3 linked regions of the Xenopus tropicalis genome follow. The protein of the gene in region 2 purifies or fractionates together with the protein of the main gene of each other region. This does not show direct contact. Links are inferred from orthologs where the notes say so. Each region holds a gene or a part of one and is shown on either strand. Other genes may lie near its edges.

Region 1 (4,282 bases), on a different chromosome or scaffold from region 2:
TCAGGAGCTGCAAAGGGCTGGCTAGAGGTCCTTATTACAGACCCAATGTGCCAGTGACCTCCTTCTTCCCATTCACATATTTCAAGCCCACAGCCCCTCTACTTCTCAATGTTATCCTGAAATAACCCATGGAAATTCATCCCCAAACAATTCAAAATAAATTGTCAGGTTCAACTAATGCTACAAGTCCAGAACTGTACCTGAAGAAAGGCTTTCGGGAAAGTCTAAAAAAAAAAGCAGGGGTATCCCATAAATATGTTATTGTATAGACTTGTTCAGTCTGTCCTGCTAATGTGCATATGATTGGTCATCTAGTCTAGGCAGAAACTCGGCGCTGTATTTGCTTGTACAGATAATCTGCAGGCAAGACGTGTCTCAACATCATACGGTGATCCAGTAGAGCCAGTCTCTGATATAATCAGGAGATCATTCAACACTGGATATTAATCCATATTCGCGAAAGCATGTCTGCATCATTTCCCCACACTGGAGAGAAAACCAGCAGGTAGCAAGGGACTACATGTGCAGGAAACTGCCCATTGTCTGAACCTATCAGGATATCTGCACGGGAACATTACCTTATAATAACCGCAGTCATTGTCCAGACCTGTTCTTACAATCTGAAATTCAACTCATCACTGTCTAAGCCTTTCTTTATGATTATTTAACCCTATCCTGATTATATACAGGCTATTACTTACCCCAGCATTAACTAGATTGTCCCAATGATTTAGGGCTGTGGCACACGGGGAGATTAGTCGCCCGCGACAAATCTCCCTTGTCACCGGCGACTAATCTTCCCGAACTACCATCCCACCGGCGAAAATGTAAGTCACCGGTGGGATGGCACACGCTGCGCAGTTGATTTTGGCAAATCAGCGAGGCATTTTCGGAGATTTGCCAAAATCGCCTGTGCAGCGTGTGCCATCCCACGGGCGACTTACATTTTCGCCGGTGGGATGGCAATCCGGGGAGATTAATCTCCTCGTGTGCCAGAGCCCTTAGTATGTTATAGAATGGACAGTTCTTAGCAACTTTTCAACTGGTCTTCAAGTTTTTGAATTATTTGCCCTCTTCTTTGGACTCCTTCTGGCTTTCAAATGGGGGTCCCGCAGTGAACAGCCCCCTTTAATTAAAGACTCAATGTTGTCTTATCAGCAGAGGATGGCGCTACGCCTTATTTAAAGCCACAGCATGTCTAACCCCACCCTGAAGATCTGCAGAAGATACCAGACACTTTATTTGAACCCTTTCCACACTGTCAAACCCATGTAGATAATAAGGATGCCTCACACTATATTTATAGCTTCAATATTCTCTTGGCCTGAACTGATAATTGTCAGAGAATGAGCCTCAAATATTGTCTACCCCCATCTTGATAATCAGCAGAGGATGCCTTAAACAGTATTAATAGCCCCAATATCAGCTACGCCTATTCTGCTAGTCAGCAAGGAATAACCGTACACCCGATATGAAACCGCCATCATTGTCTAAGCCTGTCCTGATAAAAAATACCCATTGTTGCCTGAGCTTGCCCTAATTATGTATATAGATCACTCAACACTAAATAAAAGTCAACCACTGTCTGAGCCTGTCCTTGTAATACTCAGGGAGTCGCTCTTTTGTTGGACAGTAACCCGGTACTATGTGTGTCTGTATGGGGCAGTTTGAAACTAGATAATAAGACAATGATAATAATTAGAACTCCAGGTGCTTCTCCCAGGAATCTGCAGCCTAGGGGGACCCATGGAGTAAAGACATTACCTATACATATTTCTTCATAGTATCCCAGGGCCAGTTAAACGTTTATTATTTAATACCCCAGAACACATGAGAAGACAATACAGTGCCAATTCCATATAGAATGCCCCCAGAACACATGGTAGCATCAATACAGTATCCATATTATGTGTAAAACCCTGGATTATATGGTAGTATAAATGCAGTGCCAAGTCCATGTAGGATGCCCCCAGAACACACAGTAGCATAAATACAGTATCCATATTATGTATAAAAACCCCAGAATGTATGGTAGCATAAATGCAGTGCCAAGTCCATGTAGGATGCCCCCAGAACACACAGTAGCATAAATACAGTATCCATATTATGTATAAAAACCCCAGAATATATGGTAGCATAAATGCAGTGCCAAGTCCATGTAGGATGCCCCCAGAACACACAGTAGTATAAATACAGTATCTATATTATGTATAAATATATATATACAGCAGTATAAACGCAGTGCCAATTCCACGGATAATATCTCCATCCTATTTGTGGAAGTAAATGCATTGGTGTTGGGTTAGGGAGGTTCAAGCTCCCCAAACCCTTATTCCATTTCGCTCATACTCTGCCCCAAGCTACAGATATTTTCCCCCACTTCTATTCCTGCAAGCTGCCGCCCCAGAGGTCTGTAGTAGCAGTTAAAAATAGCAAAGTCCTACCTTAATTTTCTTCTTGAGGTTAAATTCACCATTTTGCCTTAGTAACTTCTCTTCGGTGGACAAAAAATGTGGGGCTAAATATAGACTGTAAGTGATGTTACATTCTTTCTGCGCTGAGATAACCTCTAGTAGCTCCAGGAGTCTGACTACGGGGCATGACTTGGAGAGACTTTCTGCAGCGCCACAAGTGTTGCCCAAGTCTCCCTTCCCTCACAGCTCTTGCATAGTTCTTTCTAGCTGCACACTCACAGAGTTCTTTCTCTAGTCCAGAACCCAGACCTCACTTTTGCCCCCAGGTTCCCCTGTAAAGCCCACAACTGTGGAGCTCCTGATGCCACTGCCTTACCCCAACTTGCTGTGCCCTAACTGTGCCACTGCACTCTTTCTCTTCTCTCCTGTAAGAGAGAAAACCCTCAGCTTCTCCCCTCCGCCTGTGTTTGTTTGTCTGTTTCCTATTCTCTGAACCTTCCCCTGACAATCTCCAAGGCAGACACGCCTCAGACCCACCCCTATTCACACACACACACACACAAGATACAGACACACAAACACACACACATGTGGGCAGGATTGTACTGTGTAAAGCAGGAAGCAGAGCTGGAACTGTGGTACATTAACCTCCTAGAGAGCTGCAGCACCCGGCGCTTAGTCTCTGCCACTCTCCTGCCAATGTGGCTTATTCTCCCACGGCGACAGGTGGATCAATAAATCGGGGTGGGTCGTACTGACAGATTCACCTGTTCCAGTGAGTGACGTGCCAGAAAAAACCTGTACCGACAGTGGGGAGGGGGATAAGGGCAGGTTTCAGAGTCATTGCTCAATAAAAAGGAATTTTTCTCATGGGACTTTTTTAATTTTCAACTGCTGTATAACTCTGACTAATATTCCTATGCACAGATAGTGACCAGGCTGCTCTGTATAATGATGCTGAGTATCTCTATACACTGATAATGACCGGGCTGCTCTGTATAATGATGCTGAGTATCTCTATACACTGATAATGACCAGGCTGCTCTGTATAATGATGATGAGTATCTCTATACACTGATAATGACCAGGCTGCTCTGTATAATGGTACTGAGTATCTCTATACGCTGATAATGACCAGGCTGCTCTGTATAATGATGATGAGTATCTCTATACGCTGATAATGACCAGGCTGCTCTGTATAATGATGATGAGTATCTCTATACACTGATAATGACCAGGCTGCTCTGTATAATGATGATGAGTATCTCTATACGCTGATAATGACCAGGCTGCTCTGTATAATGATGATGAGTATCTCTATACGCTGATAATGACCAGGCTGCTCTGTATAATGATGCTGAGTATCTCTATACGCTGATAATGACCAGGCTGCTCTGTATAATGATGCTGAGTATCTCTATACACTGATAATGACCAGGCTGCTGTGTATAATGATGCTGAGTATCTCTATACACTGATAATGACCAGGCTGCTCTGTATAATGATACTGAGTATCTCTATACACTGATAATGACCAGGCTGCTCTGTATAATGATGCCGAGTATCTCTATATGCTGATAATGACCAGGCTGCTCTGTATAATGATACTGAGTATCTCTATACGCTGATAATGACCAGGCTGCTCTGTATAATGATGCTGAGTATCTCTATATGCTGATAATGACCAGGCTGCTCTGTATAATGATACTGAGTATCTCTATACGCTGATAATGACCAGGCTGCTCTGTATAATGATGCTGAGTATCTCTATACACTGATAGTGACCGGGCTGCTCTGTATAATGATGCTGAGTATCTCTATACACTGATAATGACCGGGCTGCTCTGTATAATGATGCTGAGTATCTC
Region 2 (4,030 bases):
ACATTGTTAAAATTGATTTGTTAAGCACTTAAACTCAGCAAGTGATAGCTCTTTGAACCTAAAAGGATTAGTATTCTATTCTGTGGGTTATATTAAATTCACAGTGTTTCGTATAATAAATGGGCCCCCTTATTTTATGTAGGGCCGACAGCATGTGGCTAATTTAAGACTGTAAGAGCAGAACAGCAAGATGCTAAAGTCCGAGCAAGATATCAATAGCAAGAGGTTATATTTTTCATGAAGGGTGCACACCACAAAATATAATGTGACTTATTGCAAAACTAATTTTTAATAGAAAAGAGAACTTGGTGTTATTATTAATACTAAATGCAGAATGCACTGCTGGCCAATACTCGAAAACACATTTCTGATTTGTCACCCTTAAATGGTTTTATTTAGCATTGCAGTAAAGGTAATGATTCCGCTCCCTGCTACAAACCATTACCTTTACTGCTTTGCTTATGGTTTGAAATAAACCTCCAGTGTTGAAACTGCACCAACTAATGTGACATATGTTATAGCAGTTAAGGAAGTAAACACGTCTAAGATTATGAAGAATTTATATTGAAATACTACTTCAAAAAAATGCCTAGATGCATTCTCAGTTCCCATGCTACATTTGGGAGACATTCAGAATATGGAGGTGTTTTTCAGACAATGTAAGTTTTGTCCCTAAAAACTTTTCTATAAAACTACCACCTTTTTTTTTTCATTTTAAATACTCAGTTTAAAAGGACTTTTGTTATGTTTGCCCAAAACTTGTTTCACATTTTACAGTCTTTGTAGTAATCACAGTAGTTTTAGAAGATCCTGGCTGATTTTGCCAGGAGCTTGACTGTTCACAATAAAAACAATCTGTAGTTGATTAACAGAAATAGCAGAATTTCATATTAATACTATGATGGAATAGCAAGCTAGTCTAATGACTAAAAATACTTTTTTCGATTGCTCGAAATACTGATTGCTGCACAAATGACCTAAAACAGACTACTTTCTCCTTACATACAAATATAAATCAAGAATTACCAAAGGATCCCTAACAAATGGGACCCAGATGGTTAGAAAGAGGCATTAGGAAAGCACAGTCAATGTAACTGTTCCTTTTGTTCTCTTAAGGATGGACACCGCTTCTTCATGGGTCACTCCTTCTAAGCTCTGCCCATTCACTGCAATAATTTGGTCACCTCTGTTCAAGCGTCCATCTTCTGAGGCTGCACCCTGCAATATCAAAGTTGTATCAGCTCATCATATCCAAAATCAACAGTCTTTAGGTTTGTTGGATCAATAACTCAAACTAGAAGATGCACCAACATTATACAGCAGTGATTCCCAACCAGTGGCTCAGAAGCAACATGTTGCTTACCAACCCCTTGAATGTTTGCTCCCAGTGGCCTCAAAGCGGGTGCTTATTTTTGAATTTCTGGCTGGAGGAGAGTTTTGGTTGAATAAAAACCTGGTGTTCTAGCACAGTCTCATGTAGCCTAACAGCCCACATTGGCTACCAAATAGCCAACCACAGCTCTTATTTTCATGCTTGTGTGGCTCCCCAACACTTCCACTTGAATGTGGCTCACAAGTATAAAAGTTTGGGGACCCCTGATATACAGGGTATGGAGCCTTTTACCCAGAATGCTGGGAACTGTAAATTTGAGTACTATGACTACACTTAACTAAAGCGTATTAAAATATTTTTAAAATACTGAACAATTTATTTTGGCAGTGTGAATGCCCTAAAAGCTTTATAAATGTGGTATATTCGCTAACTGCGAATATGTATGCGCTCTGAGTCTGAGTTACACCACAACTTTAGTGGCGGAAAAAATATTCACTAAAACCGATTTTGCAAATTTATATTCGAAGAGAGAAAATAAGTGCAATAGTCACACAGAGGGCGTGCCCATGCAAATTGCAATCTCTGTTGTGTACAATTTGCATTTCACTGCAATTCGCAAAAAAAGGAAAGACAAGCATAGCAGTGCAAAATGGAATAACATGCGCAAACTACCATTTGTGAAAATAAACCTGCACTGCACAAACTTTATAAATGACCCCTGCTGTTTTCTCAATCATTCTATATATTAAATTACCCACATGTATTGAAAATAATTGACATATATTTGACATAAAGGTTGTTGACTTTTCACAAAAAAATTTCGAAAGATTTGAGCATAAAACCACTAATATGTATAAATGGATTATATTTTCATGTTTTAATTTTTCCAATATGAAATGCCTTTATTAATCTTTTCTTGTGAGTTTCCCACCCAGGAAAATATCTGAGCCTTCTGCCTTCAAAAAGAAATAAATCAGCTTTTAACATGCATGCCACAGAGGAACCTTTAACTTGACATCAAGAAGCATTAGGCCAGCTGCATCACTGTGAATGGTTTTTTCACACTTCATATAAATGCCTTTATGATGAGCAGGTGCATTTAAAAGGTTGATTCATAACATTTGCATTTACCTTAGAAAACACTGTCTTGACATATATTGGCAGGTCACCATGAGGGCTACCGTGCCCTCCTACAATACTGAAACCAAGGCCATCCGGTCCTCTTTCAAGGATGATTGTCTTATATTGTGGTGGTCTAGGGTAAAAAGAAGAAAATATTATGATACAGTGCTTTGACAGAAAAATAATAAAGCTAATGAAAAGTAAAATATCATGCACATACAGGACCATAATTAGAAAATGTTAAGGGAAATAATATTCTACACATTTCCCAAATAGTCTTTTACATTATGATTAGTAAGATTAATGGCAAATCACCACTATATCCATTAAAAAAACCTTGAATGGAAAATGGCACCACCTAAAATCTGCTGAAGATGCATAAGAAGTCAATTTAAAGTGTTTGTTCAGCATTCAAGACATTTGATGGTCAATCATTTTTTATTCTGTACTTTTCCAATCAATTTCAGCGATTATAAAAAATACTAATTTTGTTTGCAACTGAGTTGTTTTGCCTTGACTGCTAAACCATTTTAGTTTTTTTCTTAAAAAAAGCAAGGGATAGTAGAATATTAATAAATCTACTCCTAAACCTGTACAGTCAAGCTGTATCAAAAACAGTATGTTGTATAGCAATACATTCCAAAACTCTCAGGCTGGCTAAATAAAAATACAAAAACTGTAAAAAAAATAAAAAGTTTTTTTTAAAAATTGACCACAGATAAAATGTATTTGCCATTTGATAAATACACTTCTAAAAATTAATTGAAAATAAGAAAATGTATTGTTTCACAGAACCAAAGTCTAAACTAAACTATAAGGAAATACCCATTTATTAGAGATACATTCTGGTTTTAATCCATAAATTATCTAAAAAGAATATATTGTTCTAAAAAGTATTAGTTGAATTTAGTCCTGCCTGAAACAGCAGATTTGTCATGTTTCCTATTTAAACATATTTAAATATGTATAATTCTGGTATCTGTTGCAAATATGTGAAATACAGATTTCATCTAACAGACAAAAAGGCCTTTATTCATAATATGCATGCTTTGCTAACATAAGTAATATAGAACCTATGTGCTAAAAAAATAGAATGAGGGTCAGACTCAAAACTAGCTTGAAGTGTTGTAAAACAGCAGTGACATGTGTGCAGGAAAAGGAAGTGAATAAAAGCACTGATTGGGTTAAGAAAAACAAATCCGATGCGACTGGAATGTGAAAAAGGGACATGGTTAAAACTGGAATGTGGAGAGGTAAGTTTAATATAAAATGGTTTGATGAAGAAGAGCACCTACAGATTTCGGTACAAGAATGAATGAAAGTTGGAATGTTATTTAAGAACTGATTCCTGTTCTAAATAGAACTACTTACATACCTGTATCTAAAAGTAGGTGAACCATTAAATTCTGCATGAGAACTTTTTTTGTATGTTTGAGTGTGCAAATATAATGTTGCTTCTTTCTGAAACCACCTTGAGGTGTTTCAAACCACTAAAGTCACTAACATCTAAACCTTTAAAGGAAGTTAACAGAGTAAAATTGATAGCAATGTGGACATACACTAAAGCAAACTACT
Region 3 (4,244 bases), on a different chromosome or scaffold from region 2:
CAGAAAGTATTTCTTTATTAACCAAGTATAACAGCCTAAAGGCTTCTGTACTTCCTGTTTTTTTGCTGCAAGTGTACTGGTTTTCAGCCAGAAACCTGTAAATGGCTTAAAATGAACCCCTTATTTATGCCTTCATCTTGTTTATGTTAACTGAGTGTGGCCTTTATAATGGGTGTGGTTTGCTTAAATTGTTTCTATGACACTCTCTAATTATATTTTTCCCCTTCCTTCTTTCACCTATTTTAAATATAAAAATCTGAGAGCCCTGTACAATGTTATATGACTGTTACCACTGTGAAACCTAACTAGTATAAAAGCAAGACCATGTAATACAGGCACGGACTGGCAATATATGGATTCCGGCAAATGCCAGAGGGGCTGCTGCAAGATGCCAAATAAACAGTCACTATTTATAGGGCTAATGGAGGGCTGTTTGGGCCTCTGTGTGTTTGAAATGCCTGGGCTTATTTTGAATCCCAGTCCTAACCCAATGATGCTGAATCATCGCGTGTGAGTCCTACCCGAAGGCATGGGTAGGTCCAACGTCACCGAAGCTAGGGTGAGACCCACCAGGTCGTTGGAGTCTCCTTCGCCTTGCAAGTTTTGGCCTGGGGTCAAGCCCAATTGACTATGACACCCATCCAGGGTGCAACAGGGCCAGAACTAGAGGTAGGCAGTACAGGCAGGTACCAAGAGGGGCAACTATTTCACACACAGCAGCACACTAGTTCAAAGGCTCATTTTCATGGGGGCCATCCAGGGGCCTATAAAAGCTGTTCTCTGTCAGTCAGCAGTATATCGCCTGTGTATGGGGCCCTCAGAGGAGCCTACCCAACCGATATCTGCCTGATGCAAGTTAAAAATCCAGCCAGGAGGATGAGCATGTTGGTGCATTGTTGCTGGCCTCATCTCAACAGCCTGTATCCTGGCATTTAGTGAGAATCTTTCGGTGTATTGCCACCTTAATTCCAGATCCTTGTCTCTCCTCCCCACCCTGTTACCTTACCTGGTCTTTGCCCATCTCTAACTCTACTACATAGGGGTAATGGTGTATTAAAAGCATTTGGGGAGATAGACCCTTGCCTTGAGTGCCAAGATACTTGCTACAGGTCTTGTAACGCAAACATGCAGGTAAATGATCCGTCAGCAAGATACCCTATGTCCTTATGCCCTATGAACTTTGCCAAGCTTCCAAGTACTAATTTATAATGCACAATAAAATAAGGCAGATAGCCCCAAACAGTGGGTAGCCAGCCAGTGTGATCTAATTCTCCTCACATTCTCCGACAGCGTATAACTCAAGAGAGCTTTGTTGTAAGAATTGTGTTGCTGAGTTACTTCCCAGCGCTGGAAGGGTTACTAAACCTTGCCCTGAATAAACCTTGGAAGCACAAAAGGCTCCTGTGTGTTCCGGAGTGGCAGCCCAAATGGCCAATGGGACACGGACAAGAGGAGGCGTGCTAGCCAATCGGCAGGAGCGGGCGGTGACAGCGCGGTGACTGAGGCTGGCAGAGTGTGTTGGGCTGCCGTGAGGGACTGGAGGGCTGTGCTGTATGTGTCGGAAGGATATCTATCGGCGGGACCGGAGAAAGGAGAAGCTAGGCGCTCTCACAGTAAGTGCGCACTTATGGAGTTAGCAGTGGATTGTAGCTGCCACGCCGCTGCCTTTTGCTCTAATTATTGGTTTACGCGCTCTTGTTGTTCCGCCGTCCCTGGCAATACACAATTGTATGTATGTATTTATGTAGAACTTTACCGATATATCGCTATTAGCCTACCATACCCAGTGCTATACAGTATACTGTATAGAAAAGTGCTCAAGGGTGCAAGCATTTTATACCTACAGGTTAAACTGCAGCTGTTCTGTACCATTTGTAATGCCCACATCCAGTTCATATTTTCATGTTCGTACCTCTGTACAGTTTACTGTGTGCCCTTAGTCATGGGCACTTACTGGCACCCCTATGCTATAATATTTATATGTCCAAGTTTACGAGAACCTAATGGCATACCATAACCTGCTGTAATGTAACCGTGCCCTGCACTGTGGGCACCAGTTCCCACCTCATACTGTAATGTTGGTGTGTGCCAGGCAAGGGTACCAGTTGGCACACTAGTAACATGCAGCATTACTGCTGTACCCTGCGCAGGAGTCTCTAATTCCTTTCTGTTATACATACATCTTGTTACATCCTGTGTCTTGGCTCAGCCTGTCTATGTGGGATCTTTCATCCTGTAACCATGCTGTATTCCAGGGTATGGGCACCTACTGGCACCTATTCCTTGCTCTAGTACTGGTGTGTCCTTGTGTAGGCACCTACTGGCACACAGTTCCATCCTGTAATACTGATGTGCCCCAGTGTGTAGGCACCATACTAGCACACAGTTCCATCCTGTAATACTGATGTGCTCCAGTGTATAGGCACCTACTGTCACACAGTTCCATCCTGTAATACTGATGTGCTCCAGTGTGTAGGCACCTACTAGCACACAGTTCCATCCTGTAATACTGATGTGCCCCAGTGTGTAGGCACCTACTAGCACACAGTTCCATCCTGTAATACTGATGTGCCCCAGTGTGTAGGCACCTACTAGCACACAGTTCCATCCTGATAATACTGATGTGCTCCAGTGTGTAGGCACCATACTGGCATACAGTTCCATCCTGTAATACTGATGTGCTCCAGTGTGTAGGCACCTACTGGCACACAGTTCCATCCTGTAATACTGATGTGCTCCAGTGTGTAGGCACCTACTAGCACACAGTTCCATCCTGTAATACTGATGTGCCCCAGTGTGTAGGCACCTACTAGCACACAGTTCCATCCTGATAATACTGATGTGCTCCAGTGTGTAGGCACCATACTGGCATACAGTTCCATCCTGTAATACTGATGTGCTCCAGTGTGTAGGCACCTACTGGCACACAGTTCCATCCTGTAATACTGATGTGCTCCAGTGTGTAGGCACCTACTAGCACACAGTTCCATCCTGTAATACTGATGTGCCCCAGTGTGTAGGCACCTACTAGCACACAGTTCCATCCTGATAATACTGATGTGCTCCAGTGTGTAGGCACCATACTGGCACACAGTTCCATCCTGTAATACTGATGTGCTCCAGTGTGTAGGCACCTACTGGCACACAGTTCCATCCTGTAATACTGATGTGCTCCAGTGTGTAGGCACCTGCTGGCCCCCATTCCATCCTGTAATACTGATGTGCCCCAGTGTGTAGGCACTTACTAGCACACAGTTCCATCCTGTAATACTGATGTGCTCCAGTGTGTAGGCACCTACTGTCACACAGTTCCATCCTGTAATACTGATGTGCCCCAGTGTGTAGGCACCTACTAGCACACAGTTCCATCCTGAAAATACTGATGTGCTCCAGTGTGTAGGCACCATACTAGCACACAGTTCCATCCTGTAATACTGATGTGCTCCAGTGTGTAGGCACCTACTGGCACACAGTTCCATCCTGTAATACTGATGTGCTCCAGTGTGTAGGCACCTACTGGCCCCCATTCCATCCTGTAATACTGATGTGCCCCAGTGTGTAGGCACCTACTAGCACACAGTTCCATCCTGTAATACTGATGTGCTCCAGTGTGTAGGCACCTACTGGCCCCCATTCCATCCTGTAATACTGATGTGTCCCAGTGTGTAGGCACCTACTGGCCCCCATTCCATCCTGTAATATTACATTCTCACAGTGTGTGGGCACCTACTGGCTCCCATTCCATCCTGTAATACTGATGTGCCCCAGTGTGTAGGCACCTACTGGCCCCCATTCCATCCTGTAATACTGATGTGCCCCAGTGTGTAGGCACCTACTGGCCCCAGTTCCCGCATGTAATACTAAATTCTCCCAGTGTGTGGGCACCTACTGGCCTCTATTCCATCCTGTAATACTGATTTGTCCAATTGTGAGAGCACCTACTGGTCCCCATTCTATCCTGTAGTGCTGATTTGTCCAAGTGTGTGGGCATCTACTGGCAATCCATTCCATCCTGTAATACTAAATTCTTAGTGTGTGAGCACCTACTGGCCCCCATTCCATCCTGTAATACTGATTTGTCCAATTGTGTGAGTACCTACTGGTCCCCATTCTATCCTGTAGTACTGATTTGTCCAAGTGTGTGGGCACCTACTGACAATCCATTCCATCCTGTAATACTAAATTCTCACAGTGTATGAGCACCTACTGGCCCCCATCCTATCCTGTAATACCAAATTCTCACA

The links. The genes of interacting proteins can lie anywhere in the genome.
Region 1: the proteins of mpdz (region 2) and plekha2 purify together in Homo sapiens (affinity purification with western blotting; 3 studies listed by BioGRID and IntAct, with this or other methods). This does not show direct contact. The link is inferred for Xenopus tropicalis from reciprocal best matches to the Homo sapiens genes MPDZ and PLEKHA2.
Region 3: the proteins of mpdz (region 2) and amot purify together in Homo sapiens (affinity purification with mass spectrometry; 4 studies listed by BioGRID and IntAct, with this or other methods). This does not show direct contact. The link is inferred for Xenopus tropicalis from reciprocal best matches to the Homo sapiens genes MPDZ and AMOT.

What each region holds. Positions count from the first base shown.
Region 1 is NC_030679.2:131,935,290-131,939,571, forward strand, and holds the start of plekha2 (pleckstrin homology domain-containing family A member 2), read right to left. Parts: upstream 2,801-4,282; 5' UTR 2,445-2,800; intron 1-2,444. UniProt on the Homo sapiens protein: Binds specifically to phosphatidylinositol 3,4-diphosphate (PtdIns3,4P2), but not to other phosphoinositides. May recruit other proteins to the plasma membrane.
Region 2 is NC_030677.2:124,856,837-124,860,866, reverse strand, and holds part of mpdz (multiple PDZ domain protein), read right to left. Parts: intron 2,589-4,030; coding exon 2,465-2,588; intron 1,219-2,464; coding exon 1,072-1,218; 3' UTR 1-1,071. UniProt on the Homo sapiens protein: Member of the NMDAR signaling complex that may play a role in control of AMPAR potentiation and synaptic plasticity in excitatory synapses. Promotes clustering of HT2RC at the cell surface.
Region 3 is NC_030684.2:52,198,556-52,202,799, reverse strand, and holds the start of amot (angiomotin), read left to right. Parts: upstream 1-1,444; 5' UTR 1,445-1,613; intron 1,614-4,244.